Macaca mulatta: one gene and its partner. Each later gene encodes a partner of the first gene's protein in a complex. Links are inferred from orthologs where the notes say so. Each region holds a gene or a part of one and is shown on either strand. Other genes may lie near its edges. The genes, in order: MED12 and MED24.

Evidence for each region.
Region 2: MED12 (region 1) and MED24 share a complex: the UniProt entries of both Homo sapiens proteins name them as parts of the mediator complex. The link is inferred for Macaca mulatta from reciprocal best matches to the Homo sapiens genes MED12 and MED24.

Annotation. Positions count from the first base shown.
Region 1 is NC_133426.1:77,593,878-77,602,543, forward strand, and holds part of MED12 (mediator of RNA polymerase II transcription subunit 12), read left to right. Parts: intron 1-29; coding exon 30-131; intron 132-231; coding exon 232-345; intron 346-596; coding exon 597-772; intron 773-951; coding exon 952-1,131; intron 1,132-2,467; coding exon 2,468-2,539; intron 2,540-2,993; coding exon 2,994-3,127; intron 3,128-3,293; coding exon 3,294-3,455; intron 3,456-3,758; coding exon 3,759-3,870; intron 3,871-4,036; coding exon 4,037-4,126; intron 4,127-4,973; coding exon 4,974-5,083; intron 5,084-5,329; coding exon 5,330-5,465; intron 5,466-5,708; coding exon 5,709-5,870; intron 5,871-6,908; coding exon 6,909-7,283; intron 7,284-7,506; coding exon 7,507-7,657; intron 7,658-7,814; coding exon 7,815-8,020; intron 8,021-8,183; coding exon 8,184-8,261; intron 8,262-8,351; coding exon 8,352-8,569; intron 8,570-8,666. UniProt on the Homo sapiens protein: Component of the Mediator complex, a coactivator involved in the regulated transcription of nearly all RNA polymerase II-dependent genes.
Region 2 is NC_133421.1:64,408,128-64,417,586, reverse strand, and holds the start of MED24 (mediator of RNA polymerase II transcription subunit 24), read left to right. Parts: upstream 1-4,223; 5' UTR 4,224-4,271; intron 4,272-4,518; exon of another isoform or gene 4,519-4,711; intron 4,712-4,858; exon of another isoform or gene 4,859-5,609; 5' UTR 5,610-5,668; coding exon 5,669-5,798; intron 5,799-5,886; coding exon 5,887-5,969; intron 5,970-9,010; exon of another isoform or gene 9,011-9,459. UniProt on the Homo sapiens protein: Component of the Mediator complex, a coactivator involved in the regulated transcription of nearly all RNA polymerase II-dependent genes.

The DNA of each region.
Region 1 (8,666 bases):
TTCCCAGATCTGTTTTGTCTTCCTTTTAGCTTGTAGTGAACAGGACTCTGAGCCAGGGGCCCGGCTTACCTGCCGCATCCTCCTTCACCTTTTCAAGACACCGCAGCTCAATCCTTGCCAGTCTGATGGAAGTAAGTGACCCTGATCTGAACCAGCCAACAGTAGAAAGTGTGGTTCCCCTGCCTCCATGGATTCCACTTTTGCTTCCCCTGACTTCATCGCCTTCCCCAGACAAGCCTACAGTAGGAATCCGCTCCTCCTGTGACCGCCACCTGCTGGCTGCCTCCCAGAACCGCATCGTGGATGGAGCTGTGTTTGCTGTTCTCAAGGCTGTGTTTGTACTTGGTACGGGGGTAGGAAGGGAGTGGTGCCAGAAGTGTGTATAGGGTGGAGTGCCAGCTAAACTACAAGGGACAGTCTTTCTCCCTTCTGAAGGTGGTCTCTCTGACCTTTCGGGAGGAGGGGAGGGAGAGAAGTATATTTCTGTCCCATAGGGCAGGATTTGGGGTGTTTCTGCCTCTGTGGGCCCAGGGTGGGTCTCCACACAGTGTTCCAATCTCACTCTGCCCTCCCTATCTCCCACCCGTGAACCACAGGGGATGCGGAACTGAAAGGTTCAGGCTTCACTGTGACAGGAGGAACAGAAGAACTTCCAGAGGAGGAGGGAGGAGGTGGCAGTGGTGGTCGGAGGCAGGGTGGCCGCAACATCTCTGTGGAGACAGCCAGTCTGGATGTCTATGCCAAGTACGTGCTGCGCAGCATCTGCCAACAGGTCAGTCTCACCTTCCTCTCACACCTCCTAAATGCCTCTGTGTAATACAGTCCTGTTTCCAGCCCATGATCACACCACCTCCCTACTATACATTGTGTTCCTTACCAACTCCAGCCCATCCCCCATATTCCTAACCCCCTCACTGGTTGCTCCCAGTCCCTGATTGTCAGCTTCCTCAGGAATGGGTAGGAGAACGTTGCCTTAAGTCGCTGTGTGAGGACAGCAATGACCTGCAAGACCCAGTGTTGAGTAGTGCCCAGGCGCAGCGCCTCATGCAGCTCATCTGCTACCCACATCGACTGCTGGACAATGAGGATGGGGAAAACCCCCAGCGGCAGCGCATAAAGCGCATTCTCCAGGTAGGCCAAGGCTGTGGGGGCCGCAGAGGAAGTAGTGGGCCCAATCTGGGGAGAAACAATAGGAACCTTGAGAAAAGGAGAGGGGGAGTTAAGTAGAGAGGAAGACAGACAAGGATATAGTGGAGGGGAGAGGTAGCGAGAGAAACACGGCTCCAGCATGGGCTGAGGAGTAAGTCCAATAGGGTCTAGACTCCAGTGTAAGAGTATTAGGTGAGGGCATAGCTATCGGGAATGAATCTAGCTTATCAATGGGAAGCATAGCATCTGGGAGGCCTAGGCGTGGGCCTTGTATATTTGGCATTTTGGCCATGGCTCAGAACTGAATAGTAATGGCTACTACTTGCTGAGCATGTGTTTTGTGCCAGGTACTGTGCTAGGTACTCTGCACACATTTCCTCATTTAATCTTTATGACCCTATGAAGTAGATGAGCCTCCCTGTTTGACCGATGAGGAAACTGAGGCTTGAAGAGGTTAAGTAACTTGTCTAAGGTCACATAGCTGATAAGTTTAGAGTCAATATGTGAACCCAGACATGTCTGTGCACTTTCCACTTCACATTGCCTCACACCTTCAGATGACCAGAGAGTGGAAAAATGAAGCCATTGAGGAAAAGCTAAAGGAATAAGGTCTCTTCAGCCCAGGAGAGACAGTGTCGAAGAGAGATTAGCTAACAGTAGCCTTCTGGTCTCTATAGGACTTTGAGAGATTGTCTTATAAAGGTCCTGTCAGGGACTTTGAGCAGTTGGTCTAAAACGAGAGAAGCAGGCTTCGACTTTAACATCAAGGATTTCAAGGTTAAGCATTAAGCAGAACTTCCTGATACGAAGGGATGGGAAAGATGTGAAATCTTTCCTGAACTGTTTTAAAAATTGGAAAGATTTTCAACTAGTTTGGACTATTTAAATGTAGTCTTTTTTTTTTTTTTTTTTTTTGAGACGGAGTCTTGCTCTTGTCACCCAGGCTGGAGTGCAGTGGCGCGATCTCAGCTCACTGCAACCTCTGCCTCCCAAGTTCAAGCGATTGTCCTGCCTCAGCCTCCTGAGTAACTGGGATTACAGGCGCCCACCACCACGCCCGGCTAATTTTTGTATTTTTAGTAGAGATGGGGTTTTGCCATGTTGGCCAGGCTGATCTCGAACTCCTAACCTCAGGTGATCCGCCTGCCTCAGCCTCCCTAAATGTAGTCTTTCTTAAAGATGGGGACATAGAGGTCCCTTTCAGACCTCCAGGAGTCTGTGATTCAATGTTGCAGGAGAACAGGAATTGGCCTCAGATTGGTGGGTAGCTGGGGGTAACACGATGATTACTAGCCTGGGTGTGGGGCCTCTATCACAGAACTTGGACCAGTGGACCATGCGCCAGTCTTCCCTGGAGCTGCAGCTCATGATCAAGCAGACCCCTAACAATGTGAGTAGTGCCTGGACCCTCCCTTTCCTGTGTTCACGTTCAGCTCCATGTGTCAGGGAGGCGGTCCACCACAGAAGAACCTAGATCCTACCCTTGGGCTCTTGAGCTGAGAGATAAGAGGGGATGGGAAAATGGTGAACAAGTGGAGCTGATGATAAGGGAAATGGGTTGAGAGTGTTGGAGCTCTGAGCTGTGGGGAAGCTTGGTGGTGGTGGTGGTGGAGCCTGTTTATCTGGCCATAGATGTAAGGAGGTATGTAAAGGAGAAGACAATGAGGAATTGGAGAAATACGGAGGTACTAGAGGACATGAGTCCCAACAGAGTTGGGTTCCTGTCTCCCCATCAACCTCCGCCAGTGCTGTCCTTCTCCCTCATCTCCCATCTCTCCTACCATCTGCTTTCCTTCACCCTTAGCTACCTATTTTAGCACTTCTGTGCCTTTCATCCTCCCCAGGAGATGAACTCCCTCTTGGAGAACATTGCCAAGGCCACAATCGAGGTTTTCCAACAGTCAGCAGAGACAGGGTCATCTTCTGGAAGTACTGCAAGCAACATGCCCAGCAGCAGCAAGACCAAGCCTGTGCTCAGGTCGGATAGAAACATGTTAGGACCCATCCCCTTAGGAATTTCTCTGCTGGTAGCATGAGTGATGTCAGATGCGTGGAGATACCAGCATGTCCATCAGGGAAAGGAGAGGATGGATTGTTCCAGCCTTGCCTGGCTCCCCTGTGACCCTGTGTCCTCTGTTCTCCAGCTCTCTAGAGCGCTCTGGTGTATGGCTGGTGGCCCCCCTTATTGCTAAACTGCCCACCTCAGTCCAGGGACATGTGTTAAAGGCTGCTGGGGAGGAATTGGAGAAGGGTCAGCACCTGGGTTCCTCTTCACGCAAAGAACGTGATCGACAAAAGCAGAAGAGGTAAAGGGGCTTAGGGAGTGGACCAAGATTGAGAGGTAGAAAGGAGAAAAGGCAGGCCTGGGGAAGAATAAAATTGGGGCTAAGGAGAAGCATCATAGGAAAGTGGAAAATCAGAGGATAAGAGTGGGCATGGCTGAGCAAGAGGCTAGGTCTTAGGAGAGTAGAGTCTGGAGAATGAGGTTGGAAGTTGATTCCCAACCCACAGTCTCCCTTTTCTCCTCTTCTCTCCTCTCCTCTTCTTCTCTTCTCTTCTCTTCTCTTCTCTTCTCTTCTCTTCTCTTCTCTTCTCTCTCTTGTCTCTAGCATGTCCCTGTTGAGCCAGCAGCCCTTCTTATCACTGGTACTAACATGTCTGAAAGGGCAGGATGAACAACGCGAGGGACTCCTTACCTCCCTCTACAGCCAGGTGCACCAGGTACGGATCTCTGGGCCATGGAGGTGGGCAGGAGGGCAGGGAAGGATGCACCTAAGGGGTTACTCTGTACTTGGAAACTTCAGTACTTTCTGATAAACATATTGGCTGTTGTGAGATGGAAACACGAAGATCCCTGAACTGCATATTTTATTTGTTTCTATTCTAGATTGTGAATAATTGGCGAGATGACCAGTACTTAGATGATTGCAAACCAAAGCAGCTTATGCATGAGGCACTCAAACTGCGGCTCAACCTGGTGAGAAGGCCAGCTAGGGAAAGAAGGAAGAGGGTAGGGCTAGAAATGCAGAGCGCAAAAGCCTCAGGTTGGGGAGAATGGGGGTAAGGATAGAAGCCCCAGGTTATTCTGAGTCTTGAAGTTTTTTTTGTTTTGTTTTGTTTTGTTTTGTTTTTGGAGTCGGAGTCTCGCTCTGTCACCCAAGCTGGAGTGCAGTGGCACCATCTCAGCTCACTGCAACCTCCACCTCCCGGGTTCAAGTGATTCTCAAGTCTCAACTTCCTGAGTAGCTGGGACTACAGGTGTGCGCCACCACACCTGGCTAATTTTTGTATTTTTCATAGAGATGGGGTTTCACCATGCTGGCCAGGCTGGTCTTGAACTCTTGACTTCAAATGATCCGTCCATCTCAGCCTCCCAAAGTGCTGAGATTATAGGCATGAGCCACCGTGCCCGGCCTGAGTCTTGAAGTATTAACCGTGTTCTCTGAAAGAATGCAGGGACTGAAAGTGGTTAAGGGGGCTGTATCACTGTGGTCATGGTCCAATAGATTATGTACCCTGGATCCTTGCAGGGACTCTGCCTCAGTATCCTAGATTCTGACTGGGCCCTAGAAGCACTGGAAACCCATTGTAGAATGTTGAATGGAATCCTGGAAATCATTCAGTCCAACTCCCATCACTTTCTAAGTATGGAAACAGAGGCCCAGAGATGTCAAGAATTCCCTCATTGTCTCGAGATCATATAGTAAATCATAGGTTCAACTCAAGCATGAACTCAGGCGTCCCAACTCAGATTTGAACTAAGCTTTCCTTAAACTCTGGCCTTGTCCCTGAGCCATCTGACTGACTTGTTGTGGCCCTGGCAGGTTGGGGGCATGTTTGACACGGTGCAGCGCAGCACCCAGCAGACCACGGAGTGGGCCATGCTCCTCCTGGAGATCATCATCAGCGGCACTGTCGACATGCAGTCCAACAAGTAAAGCATCCCCACCTGCTCCCTGCAGTTTCATACCCAAGAGGCTCCCCTTACTCCCACGTCAGGTGCACCCACTGAGATTGGTATGGCTGTTACTGTGGACTCCATGGCCCTGGGCTCCCCATATGGTTTTGGTGCCCTCGGGATGACATATTAAGCACCTCTCCCTGTTTGTGTCCTCTGCTGAGGCCTTTTTCTATCTTCACCTCTTTCTTCTCTGGTTTTCTCTCTGGCTTCCTGTCTCAGTGAGCTCTTCACTACTGTGTTGGACATGCTGAGCGTGCTCATCAATGGGACATTGGCTGCAGACATGTCTAGCATCTCCCAAGGTAGCATGGAGGAAAACAAGCGTGCATACATGAACCTGGCAAAGAAGCTACAGGTGAGCAGAGGAGGCAGGGACAAGGATTGCGGGAACCGGAATCTGCTGTCCAGCCTCAGGAACTTGCTTCTGGCTTGAGCCCTCTGCCTTTCCTTCTCATGTCTATCTTTTCTTTGTTACTCATGCCATGAGCATTTACTGAGTGGGGGTCTTCTCTGTGCCAAGTTCTGTGCTGTCCCCTGAGACTTCCCATCCCTGTTTTCTGTATCTCTGAACTCTTGTCCCATCTTCCTGTGCCTGCAGAAGGAGTTGGGGGAACGCCAGTCAGACAGTCTGGAAAAGGTTCGCCAGCTGCTGCCACTGCCCAAGCAGACCCGAGATGTCATCACGTGTGAGCCACAGGGCTCCCTTATTGATACCAAGGGCAACAAGATTGCTGGCTTCGATTCCATCTTCAAGAAGGAGGCATGTTCCATTGTCTGCCCATGTCCCTTGCCTTTTTTCCCCTTTGGGCAAGAACTTTCCCTGCATCAGCTTTGTAGCTCCAACAGACTCATCAGATTCAGGAGCCCATCCAGTCTCTGCCAGTGAACACCATCTCGGGGGTTTTCAGCAAATCACTTAACTTTCCTTACATTTCATCTCCATCTCTGGAGTCCCACCCTCTTTCCTTCACCCTGCCCTCACCTTTTAACATACCACCCATTTCTCAATACCCTAACCTCCTCTTTCCTCTGCTCCACCTGCCTCATGTCCTACCCCACCCATCTATCTGGCCGACAGCCTGTATCTCTTTTATTTCTGTGTTTCTCTCCCTACACCCACCCATCTCGGCACAGTTTTATCTTTTCCCTCTCTGTCAGTTGCGTATTTGTTGAGTAACCATAATTATTGTGTATAGTTTAAAACCCAAAGTCTAACTCCTTCATATATACATTCTCTTCATCTGTCTTCCTAGTCCATCTGTCTCTTTTCCTCTGTCTCTGTCTCTCTCCGTGTCTGACTCGTTTGCCTTTCTTTGTCTCTCCACCTTTTTGTCTCTCTTCCTGTTTCTCTCTCCCTCTCTGACTCTGTCTTTCTCTGCCTGCCTAAAGGCAGAATCTCTCCCTGCCTTCCTCTCTCTCTTTCTCTGCCTTCCTTTTTCTGTCTGCCTCTGAATGTCAATCCCTCTCCCTCCCCACTTCCTCTCTGGCTTTCTCCCCAACCCCTTTCTCTCCCGGTCTCGGCTTCTCTCCCCACACGCCCGCCGCCCGCCCCGTTCATTCGTCTCCTCTCCTGGTCCTGGCTGGCTTCATCTTGCGTCTCCATACCTCTCCCTGTCCCCCACCCTTCACTCTCTCCCCGCATAACTCTTCTGCATGTATGTGTGTATCCGTGTCTGTCTGTTTCTTACCATCTCTCTTGAATCTACCTATGACTTTCTACCCACTCCTACAAGTGCTTGCGGTCTCTCTTGTGTTTTCTAAGTCCCAACAGCTTATTGTTTTTCATTTTCTGGAGCAGGGTCTACAGGTTTCCACCAAACAGAAGATCTCGCCCTGGGATCTTTTTGAGGGGTTGAAGCCGTCAGCACCGCTGTCTTGGGGCTGGTTTGGAACAGTGCGGGTGGACCGGCGAGTGGCTCGAGGAGAGGAGCAGCAGCGGTTGCTGCTCTACCACACACACCTGAGGCCCCGGCCCCGCGCCTATTACCTGGAGCCGCTGCCACTGCCCCCAGAAGATGAGGAGCCCCCTGCTCCTACCCTGCTAGAGCCTGAGAAAAAGGCTCCAGAGCCCCCCAAAACTGACAAACCGGGGGCTGCTCCACCCAGTACTGAGGAACGCAAGAAGAAGTCCACCAAGGGCAAGAAACGCAGCCAGCCAGCTGCCAAGACAGAGGTGAGCGTCTCCCCCGTGACAGTTCTCCCACAGCCTCTTACTTCATGACGCTCCAGTTTCTGGTTTGTGGGAGGGGTGGGGGCGCATAAGGAAGGGGTGCCATTAGAATCATAATAAAAATTAACCATGTACAAATCCAGCTCCTCTTTACCTCATTCTCCCCCAGCTCCCCGACCCCACTCAGCTACAACCCACTCACCCTCTTCTTCTGTCACTCACACAGGACTATGGAATGGGCCCGGGTCGGAGCGGCCCTTATGGTGTGACAGTGCCTCCAGACCTCCTGCACCACCCAAACCCTGGTTCCATAACCCACCTTAATTACAGGCAAGGCTCCATAGGCCTGTACACCCAGAACCAGCCACTACCTGCAGGTGAGTGCCAGCCACTAGGAATGCTGGAGGGACCTAGGTGTATACTCCCCCTGCCCAAAGGGTGATGCCGTTCCCCTGAGGAGCTATGGATGTCAAGGACACTGAGCAAGAGACAGAGGGATGAGGAACCTAGAGGTCAGCCCACTCTCCTTTCCAGGTGGCCCTCGTGTGGACCCGTACCGCCCTGTGCGCTTACCAATGCAGAAGCTGCCCACCCGACCGACTTACCCTGGAGTGCTGCCCACAACCATGACTGGCGTCATGGGCCTAGAACCCTCCTCTTATAAGACCTCTGTGTACCGGCAGCAGCAACCTGCGGTGCCCCAAGGACAGCGCCTTCGCCAACAGCTCCAGGCAAAGATAGTGAGAGGGGCAGTAGGGAGGGCTGTCAGGGAGAGGGGCTTTTGAGGGTCACAGGACTGAGGAGACACGGGATCTTCACAAGGACACTCAGAGCAGGAGACACAAGAGATGAGATGGCAGCAAGCATTTCCTGAGTTTGAGTTGTTCTCTTCTCTCCCTTTAGCAGAGTCAGGGCATGTTGGGACAGTCATCTGTCCATCAGATGACTCCCAGCTCTTCCTACGGTTTGCAGACTTCCCAGGTAAGAGCCTGGGATTGTGAGACTCGGGGGATGAGGCAAGCTGCTTTGCATACTCTCAGCCCTGATTCCCTCTCTCCTCCTTCCCTCCAGGGCTATACTCCTTATGTTTCTCATGTGGGATTGCAGCAACACACAGGCCCTGCAGGTACCATGGTGCCCCCCAGCTACTCCAGCCAGCCTTACCAGAGCACCCACCCTTCTACCAATCCTACTCTTGTAGATCCTACCCGCCACCTGCAACAGCGGCCCAGTGGCTATGTGCACCAGCAGGCCCCCACCTATGGACATGGACTGACCTCCACTCAAAGGTACCCAAAGTAGTGGTGAGCTAGGAAGAGATGCAGAGGTATAAGGGAGCATTTGACTTGGGAAAGCCCGTGCCTGAAGGTGATGGGACTGGTCAGA
Region 2 (9,459 bases), on another chromosome or scaffold:
GCCTGACACTTTTTTTTTTTTTAAAGCATTTAATATGTGCCAAGTATTAGATTCCCCAAATGCTCCCAGCTTCTGGTAGAGTCTTTGTCAACAGGAGAGAGGAGAGGAGGGGGAGCAGGGAAGTCTCCTTTACCATCAGAGTTTGGGGCTTACTTTTCTGCAGCTCTCCCCCTCCAGTTAAAGGAGGGGATAGGGCAGTATGATATGGAAGCCAAAAGTATGAAGCAGAGCACCTGTCAGGGCCTGGAGGGAGGGGCCATGCAAAGGAAATGGCAGGCTGGCCTCCCTTCCCAGCCACTGTCCGGTCTGGGCCTCAGGATCACAGCACCTCTCTTCTCTGTGCTGGGAGTATGGAGGGGGAAGGCATCCTCCAGGGTGTTAGAGGGGAAGCTATTCCAAGAGTTGATTCAAATTCTGCCTTTCACTCTCCTGGGGCAGCGGGAAGACAGAGACAGGCAACTGCGGGGGATCCAGGGGTTGTCCCTGAGTTCCTGAGGTGCAGCCACCTTACAGGCCTCTTTCCCGTCATCCCCTCCCCCAGATAGACGGAAAGCAGGGATTTTGATTTGGTGACTGGTATGAGGAGGAAACTGGTTTGGAGCCAGCTGTGTATAAGTGTGTGGGAGTGACTGACTTTCTTTTCCCATCCACCTGCTGCCCATAGTGGGGGGACCCAGGCAAGCTTCCAGAGGAAAATGTTCCACTTAAGGAAAAGGAATGACTCAGTTTCCCTATAGAGAGAAGGGAAGCTGACACCCTCTGTGCCTTGTATGCTTACCAACGATTTCGGTGTTTCTGGGTTTTTGGGTCTGGACTCTTGCCACTTTTCTTTATACTGTTTTCTAGCCTAGATAGATAAGGAATGTTCCCTTCCCCTTGGGTACCCAGAACCCTGTTCCTCGCCACCTCTTACCCCACTCTGGCCTAGCTGCTTTTCTGACACTTCTCCAGGGTTGCCATGTCACTCTGACTGGTTGACTTCCACCTGCCCCTCTTCTCTCTTTAGCCAAGGTAGCCAACAAGATGAACAAAGAGGTTGGGGCTCGGGACTAGGAGGGCAGAGGTGGGAGCTCAGCCCCTGTCCCTGTTGAGAGGAAATGAACAGCAAAAGAAAGTGGGGTAAGTAGAACGGGGCTTTGAGATGGGCTGGGGGGGCTATTTTTTTTTTTTTTTAAGACAGAATTTCGCTCTTGTTGCCCAGGTTGGAGTGCAATGGTGCAATCTCGGCTTACAGCAACTTCTGCCTCCTGGGTTCAAGCAATTCTCCTACCTCCTGGGTTCAAGCAATTCTCCTACCTCCACCTCCCGAGCAGCTGGGATTACAGGCATGCGCCACCATGCCCGGCTAATTTTGTATTTTTAGTAGATACAGTTTCTCCATGTTGGTCAGGCTGGTCTTGAACTCCCAACCCCAGGTGATCTGCCTGCCTTGGCCTCCCTAAGTGCTGGGATTACAGGCGTGAGCTACTGCGCCTGGCTGGGGGGCTATTTATTCGTACACCCAAAGGAAATGTTAGCATCTCTCTTCACCCTTTGGAGGATTATCATGGAGTCCTGTGCTTGCAGTGAGCCAGAGAGCCCAAGGGGGTCCCTAGGAAGATATTGTGGTGTGGAAGGAAGAGGTGGTATAGGAAAGGTTGCCTCTGATGTTTACAGACTGGAGAGGCAGGGAGGTCAAAAGGGATAAATTAAAAATGGTCCTTGCCCAGAACTAAGGGAGCCCTTGTACATAGGAGTCCAGCCTTTGGGGAAACCTTGCCAAGCCTAGAGAAAGGGCTGCTGGTGGGAGGTGGGGAGACAGAGAAGGCAGATGGCCTGACTACAAAAGCCGCCTCCCTGTCACTGCGAAGTGGGGAGGAGGCACCTCCCTAGAAATCTGCCAGGCTCCCTGCCAGAGGGAATAGTTTGAGCTCAAAATATCACCATCCTCAGGGCCCAAATAGTTCCCAGTCCTGTGTGGACTGGACACACAGTTGACAGCTTCTCTCCAAGAGAAGCAGTTTGGGCTCTAAGGTATGTGACAGGGGCTCCAGGATGATCCAGGAATGGCTCCAGGTGGAGGGCCTTAGGATGCGGCAACAAGCACAGAATGACAGCAGGGGAGCAGGCAAAGGTAGAGTGAGGGGCTGGGAGAAGAGGGGAAGTCAGATACATGAGAAACTGAGGAGAAGCAGGGTTTGTGGCAGTCTCAAGTATGAGTGGAGTGGCCGGGGGCCATATGGAAGGTGAGGTGAGGAATCCATATTCTCCCTCCTTCCTGCTTTAGAAGCTTTGGCAACATATATTTGGCAGCTGTTTTGTATACACACTATTCCCCAGTGGTGTCCCTTGGGCAGGCACAAAGGGAGCCTAAGGGAGGGGTGTGGATTGAATGTATGGGGAGGAAGAAAAGCCATAGGCAGTACCAACCGCAGAGGGACATGATCTGACCCTCCTTCAGCCACACTCTCCCCTTTGGAACAGAAGTCCTTGACTCCCTGTCTAGACCGTGCTCCAGACACCCAGGGTGCTGTAATTCTCTGCCCAAATGGCCAGTTTTACTTCCAGAGCCTTAAATGGGCTGCTCTTCCAGATTTATCCCCCCAAGGACTGATTTTGCCACTCAAAGGGTGAGCAAAGAATGGTTGTCGAAGGCTGGGCACGGTGGCTCATGCCTATAATCCCAGCACTCTGGAAGGCTGAGGTGGGTGGATCACCTGAGGTCAGGATTTTGAGACCAGCCTGACCAACATGGTGAAACCCCATCTCTACTAAAAATACAAAAATTAGCCTGACGTGGTGGTACACGCCTGTAATTCCAGCTACTTGGGAGGCTGAGGCAGAAGAATCGCTTGAACCTGGGAGGCAGAGGTTGCGGTGAGCTGAGATTGCAGTGAGCTCAAAAAAAAAAAAAAAAAAAAAAGGAAAAAAAAAGAATCGTTTTTGGGGAATACGGATTGAGCTTGAACTTGTGAACTAGGATATTGGGCCCTGGCTAAAGGCCTCCATGTTTATTTATTTATTTTTTTGGTAGAGCTGAGAGTCTCATTATGTTGCCCAGGCTGGATTTGAACTCCTGAGCTCAAGTGATCCTCCTGCCTCAGCCTCTCGAGTAATTTACTCTTATTCCTGGTTGTAAATGTTAGGGATGACCAGTCCATAGTATGGGGAGGGATGAGGGCTATGCATAAGAAGGCTCAGACATTGGAGCCAGAGGTGGGTAACATTTGCTTTTGGCTTTCTCACTAGGGGAAGGAAAGGCTATGGCCAAGGCCCTGGGCATAATAATTGGATATTATTATTTATGGATCTTTGGGATAAGCAAGATTTAAACAACAACAACAACAACAACAAGAAACTTAAGAAAATAGTTTTTAATTTACAGGAAAAAAATGGAAGGTAATAGAGGGTCCCCACATATTCTGCACCCAATTTCTCTTTTAATTAACATCTTAGCATTAGTATGATGCATTTGTAACAACTAATGAACTAATACTGATACATTATTATTAATTAAAGTCCATGCTTTATTTAGATTTCCTTAGTTTTTACCCAGTATTCTTTTTCTCTTCCATGATTGCATTCAGAAAATCACATTACATTTAGTCATCAGGTTTCCTTAGCCCTCTTAGCTGTGACAGTTTCTCAGAATTCCTTTGATTTTGATCACCTTCACCTTAGTTTCTCCTTTACTTTCCCTTGTATCCAAGCTGTTTGGAGGGCTTGGAGATGCTGATAGGACTGTCAGATTCGGGGGTGGTGATATGTGTGCAAGTAAGGCACCTTAGTGTCGCTTTTAGAATATAGGTGTGGAAATGAGAATAGCTCTGGAAGCCCCAGGAGTTTAGGAGAAAAGAAAGAGCCCAGGAAAAGAGAAAGGCCGTATTGCTGAACGCCACACCCTTGCCGCACCTATTAACTAGGGGCTAACGAAAGAAAGGGTGTCGGAATATGATGGAGAAGGCCGGTCGACAGTGACGTCGTGGGCGACGCCGGGTTGTGAGCGACCTTTCGAGCTTCCTCGAGTCCCTGAGTCTCTGTAGTGTCTCAGCTCCTGGATGTCCTCCCTTAAAGGAGAGGAACAATGCGCGCCGACTAGACTAGTCTCTTAGTTTCTTCGCCAGCGCAGACAAATACGGTTTCAGTCCAAAAAACTACCATTCCCAGAAGACAGCGGGACGTTCCTTGCTGCATCTCTATTGGTTTGCGTTTGTTACTCCCAGCCAATAGAAAGTGAACTTCTTGACAAGTGCCAAAATGGCGATGCCTACGACCTAGAAGTGGATTGTGCGGTAGGCTTAAATTTGGGGAGGTGGTGGATGAAAAGGAAATTGGGAGGTATAGTTACAGGGCTGGAGAAGGTGGAGGAAATGAGGGAGCAAATCTGGACTTGGAGTAGTGGTGACCGAAGGACGCATTTAGAGCTAAGGGCGTAATTAGGCAACGAGGACTGGCTTAACTCCTTGATGCCCTCTTTACTCTATTAGTCCCTTTGATATTTATTTATTTGAGAGACAAAGTTTTGTCCTTGTTGCCCAGGCTGGAGTGCAATGGCGCGATCTCGGCCCACCCCATCAACCTCCGCCTCCCGGGTTCAAGCGATTCTCCTGCTTCAGCCTCCCGAGTAGCTGGGATTACAGGCATGCGCCACCAAGCCCGGCTAATTTCGTATTTTTAGTAGAGACGAGGTTTCTCCATGTTGGTCAGACTGATCTCAAACTCCCGACCTCAGGTGATCCGCCCGCCTTGGCCTCCCAAAGTGCTGGGATTACAGGTGCGAGCCACTGCGCTCGGCCTATACTTTCTTCTTAGTGCCCCAGTTTAAGGAAGGGCGGTTCAGGAGGAGAAAGCCTGACAGGATCTTACCTTATCTCTTTAGCTCTTTTTCTTTCAAATTCCGCTGCCTAGCTTAAATCTTACCGCATCTTCTTTTTTTTTGTTTGTTTGTTTTTTGTTTTGAGGCGGAGTCTCGCTCTGCCGCCCAGGCTGGGGTGCAGTGGCCGGATCTCAGCTCACTGCAAGCTCCACCTCCCGGGTTTACGCCATTCTCCTGCCTCAGCCTCCCGAGTAGCTGGGACTACAGGCGCCCGCCACCGCGCCCGGCTAAGTTTTGTATTTTTAGTAGAGACGGGGTTTCACCGTGTTAGTCAGGATGGTCTCGATCTCCTGATCTCGTGATCCGCCCATCTCGGCCTCCCAAAGTGCTGGGATTACAGGCTTGAGCCACCGCGCCCGGCCACCGCATCTTCTTTCTATTTAATTCTGCCTTCCCCGGTTCTCCTTCGAACATCGTGTCCTTTTCTTTTTTTTTTTTTTTTTTTTTTTTTTTTTTGAGACAGAGTCTCGCTCTGTCGCCCAGGCTGGAGTGCTGTGGCCGGATCTCAGCTCACTGCAAGCTCCGCCTCCCGGGTTCCCGCCATTTTCCTGCCTCAGCCTCCCGAGTAGCTGGGACTACAGGCGCCCGCCACCTCGCCCGGCTAGTTTTTTGTATTTTTTAGTAGAGACGGGGTTTCACCGTGTTAGCCAGGATGGTCTCGATCTCCTGACCTCGTGATCCGCCCGTCTCGGCCTCCCAAAGTGCTGGGATTACAGGCTTGAGCCACCACGCCCGGCCGTGTCCTTTTCTTTAGATCCACTTCTTTCACCTCAAAGTTGGCCGTCACAGCTGCCACCTGCTCAGAGTGAAATCATGAAGGTAGTCAACCTGAAGCAAGCCATTTTGCAAGCCTGGAAGGAACGTTGGAGTGACTACCAGTGGGCAATCAACATGAAGAAATTCTTTCCTAAAGGAGCCACCTGGGACATTCTCAACCTGGCAGGTCTCAAGTGAACTGGGAAAGAAAGATGGGAGGGATAAACCCAGAGAAGTTGTAATCACTCAATCGTGTTTTGTTATTCCTCTTGCAGATGCATTACTAGAGCAGGCCATGATTGGACCATCCCCCAATCCTCTCATCTTGTCCTACCTGAAGTATGCCATTAGTTCCCAGGTAAGCTCCCCCAAAACCCCCACCAAGAAGTGAGAGTTTTGGGGATAAAAAACTTGAAGTGCATTTGGACCCCAGTGATTCATGACTGTAATCCCAGCATTGTGGGAGGCTGAAGCAGGCAGATTGCTTGAGCCCAGGAGTTTGAGACCAGCCTGGGTAACATGGCAAAACCCAGTCTCTACCCCAAAATACAAAGAATTAGCCCTTCGTGGTGGTGCCCCTGTAGTCCCAGCTACTTGGAAGGCTGAGGTGGGAGGATCACCTAAGCCCTGGGAGGTCAAGGCTACAGTGAGCCATGATCCTGCCACTGCACTCCAGCCAGAGCAACAGAGTGAGACCCTGTCTCAGGAAACAAACAAAACAAAATTTGGGGTGCAGTTTTACAATTGTCAGCTTACGCTTTCTAGATGAATTTGTTTGAACAGATCATTTCACTGAGTTTCAGTGTTCTCATAAAAATAATAATACTTCATTTGTTGTGATGAATATTATATTCACTTATTCTACTGGGAGTAGTAGCAGGTAGCACAGGCCTGTGGCCCCGCCTACTCAGAAAGCGGAGGTGGGAGGATTGCTTGAGCCCAGAAGTTCGAGGCTACAGTGAGCACTGATTGTGCCACTGCACTCCAGCCTGGGCAACAGAACAAGACTCCATCTCTTAAAAACAACAACCACCAAAAGAGAAATAGGATTACATTCACTTGTTCTATCAACAAATACTCATGAATTTTTTTTTTTTTTTTTTTTTGAGACGGAGTCTTGCTCTGTCGCCCAGGCTGGAGTGTAGTGGCCGGATCTCAGCTCACTGCAAGCTCCGCCTCCCGGGTTCCCGCCATTCTCTTGCCTCAGCCTCCCGGGTAGCTGGGACTACAGGCGCCCGCCACCTCGCCCGGCTAGTTTTTTGTCTTTTTTGGTAGAGACGGGGTTTCACCATGTTAGCCAGGATGGTCTTGATCTCCTGACCTCGTGATCTGCCCATCTCGGCCTCCCAAAGTGCTGGGATTACAGGCTTGAGCCACTGCGCCCGGCCTTTTTTTTTTTTTTTTTTGAGATGGAGTCTCGCTCTGTCACCCGGACTGGAGTGCAGTGGTGCGATCTTGGCTCACTGCAAGCTCCGCCTCCTGGGTTCTCCTGCCTCAGACTCCCGAGTAGCTGGGACTACAGGCGCCTGCCACCACGCCCGGCTGATTTTTTGTATTTTTTTTTTTTTAGTAGAGACAGGGTTTCACCGTGTTAGCCAGGATGGTCTCGATCTCCTGACCTCATGATCTGCCCACCTCAGCCTTCCAAAGTGCTGGGATTACAGGTGTGAGCTACCGCGCCCGGCCTCATGAATGCTTTTATGTGCCAGACAGTGCTAGCCCCTGGGGACATAGCTGTGAATAAGATCTGATGCCAGTACACAGAGAATTTAGTGGGTAATATAGACATGTAAATAAGCAGTCACTAGATGGGTTTATGATAAAGGTTAGAATAGAGTACGGATGCTCCTCAACTTACAATGGGGTGATGTGCTGATATACCACTCATAAGTTGAAAATGTACTTAATACACATAACTTGCCAAAGGTCATCTACCTACCACTTTTTTGAGACAGAGTCTTGCTCTATCACCCAGGCTGGAGTGCAATGGTGTGACCTCAGCTCACTGCAACCTCTGTCTCCTGAGTTCAGGTGATTCTCCTGCCTCAGCCTCCCGAGTAGCTGGGACTGCAGGTACCTGCCACCATGCCTGGCTAATTTTTATATTTTTAGTAGAGACAGGGTTTCATTATATTGGCTAGGCTGGTCTCGAACTCCTGACCTTGTGATCTGCCCACCTTGGCCTCCCAAATTGCTGGGATTGCAGGTGTGAGCCACCATGCCCGGCCATCTACCTACCTTAAATGTGCTCAGAACACTCTAGCTTACAGTTGGGAAAAATCATCAAACACAAAGCCTGTTTGTTTATTGAGATGGAGTTTCACTCTTGTTGCCCAGGCTGCAGTGCAATGGCTTGATCTCGGCTCACTGCAACCTCCACCTCCCAGGTTCAAGCTATTCTCCTACCTCAGCCTCCTGAGTAGCTGGAATTACAGGTGCCCACCACTACACCTGGATAATTTTTGTATTTTTAGTAGAGATGGGGTTTTACTGTTTTGGCCAGCCTGGTCTCGAACTCTTGACTTCAGGTGATCCACCTGCCTTGACTTCCCAGTGTTGGGATTACAGGCATGAGCCACTGCGCCTGTCCTTATTTTTTATTGGTTGATTGATTAATTGATTGAGGCAGAGTCTTGCTCCATCGCCAGGCTAGAGTGCAGTGTGGTGCGATCTTGGCTTACTGCAACCTCCGCCTCCCAGATTCAAGTGATTCTCCTGCCTCAGCCTCCCAAGTAGCTGGGAATACAGGCGCATACCACTACGTTCCGCTAATTTTATACGTTTTTTTTTTTTTTTTGAGACGGAGTCTTGCTCTGTGCCCCAGGCTGGAGTGCAGTGGCGGGATCTCAGCTCACTGCAAGCTCCGCCCCGCCGGGTTCACGCCATTCTCCTGCCTCAGCCTCCCGAGTAGCTGGGACTACAGGCGCACGCCACCTCGCCCGGCTAATTTTTCTTGTATTTTTCATAGAGACGGGGTTTCACCGTGTTAGCCAGGATGGTCTCGATCTCCTGACCTCGTGATCCGCCCGCCTCGGCCTCCCAAAGTGCTGGGATTACAGGCTTGAGCCACCGCGCCCGGCCTAATTTTATACTTTTAGTAGAGACTGGGTTTCTCCATGTTGGTCAGGCTGGTCTCGAACTCCTGACCTCAGGTGATTCACCCTCCTTGGCCTCCCAAAGTGCTGAGATTATAGGCGTGAGCCACCACGCCCAGCCAGAAGTGCAGATTTCTTTCTTTTTTTTTTTTTTTGAGACGGAGTCTCGCTCTGTTGCCCAGGCTGGAGTGCAGTGGCCAGATCTCAGCTCACTGCAAGCTCCGCCTCCTGGGTTTACGCCATTCTCCTGCCTCAGCCTCCCGAGTAGCTGGGACCACAGGTGCCAGCCACCTCGCCCTGCTAGTTTGGTTTTTTTTTTTTTTTTTTTTTTTTTTTTGAGACGTAGTCTCGCTGTGTCTCCCAGGCTGGAGTGCAGTGGCGTGATCTCGGCTCACTGCAAGCTCCACCTCCCGGGTTCATGCCATTCTCCCGCCTCAGCCTCCCGAGTAGCTGAGACTACAGGCGCCCGCCACCACGCCCGGCTAGTTTTTTTTTTTGTATTTTTAGTAGAGACGGGGTTTCACCGTGTTAGCCAGGATAGTCTCGATCTCCTGACCTCGTGATCCACCCGCCTCGGCCTCCCAAAGTGCTGGGATTACAGGCTTGAGCCACCGCGCCTGGCCAGTTTTTTGTATTTTTTAGTAGAGATGGGGTTTCACTGTGTGAGCCAGGATGGTCTCGATCTCCTGACCTCATGATCCCCCCATCTCAGCCTCCCAAAGTGCTAGGATTACAGGCTTGAGCCACCGCGCC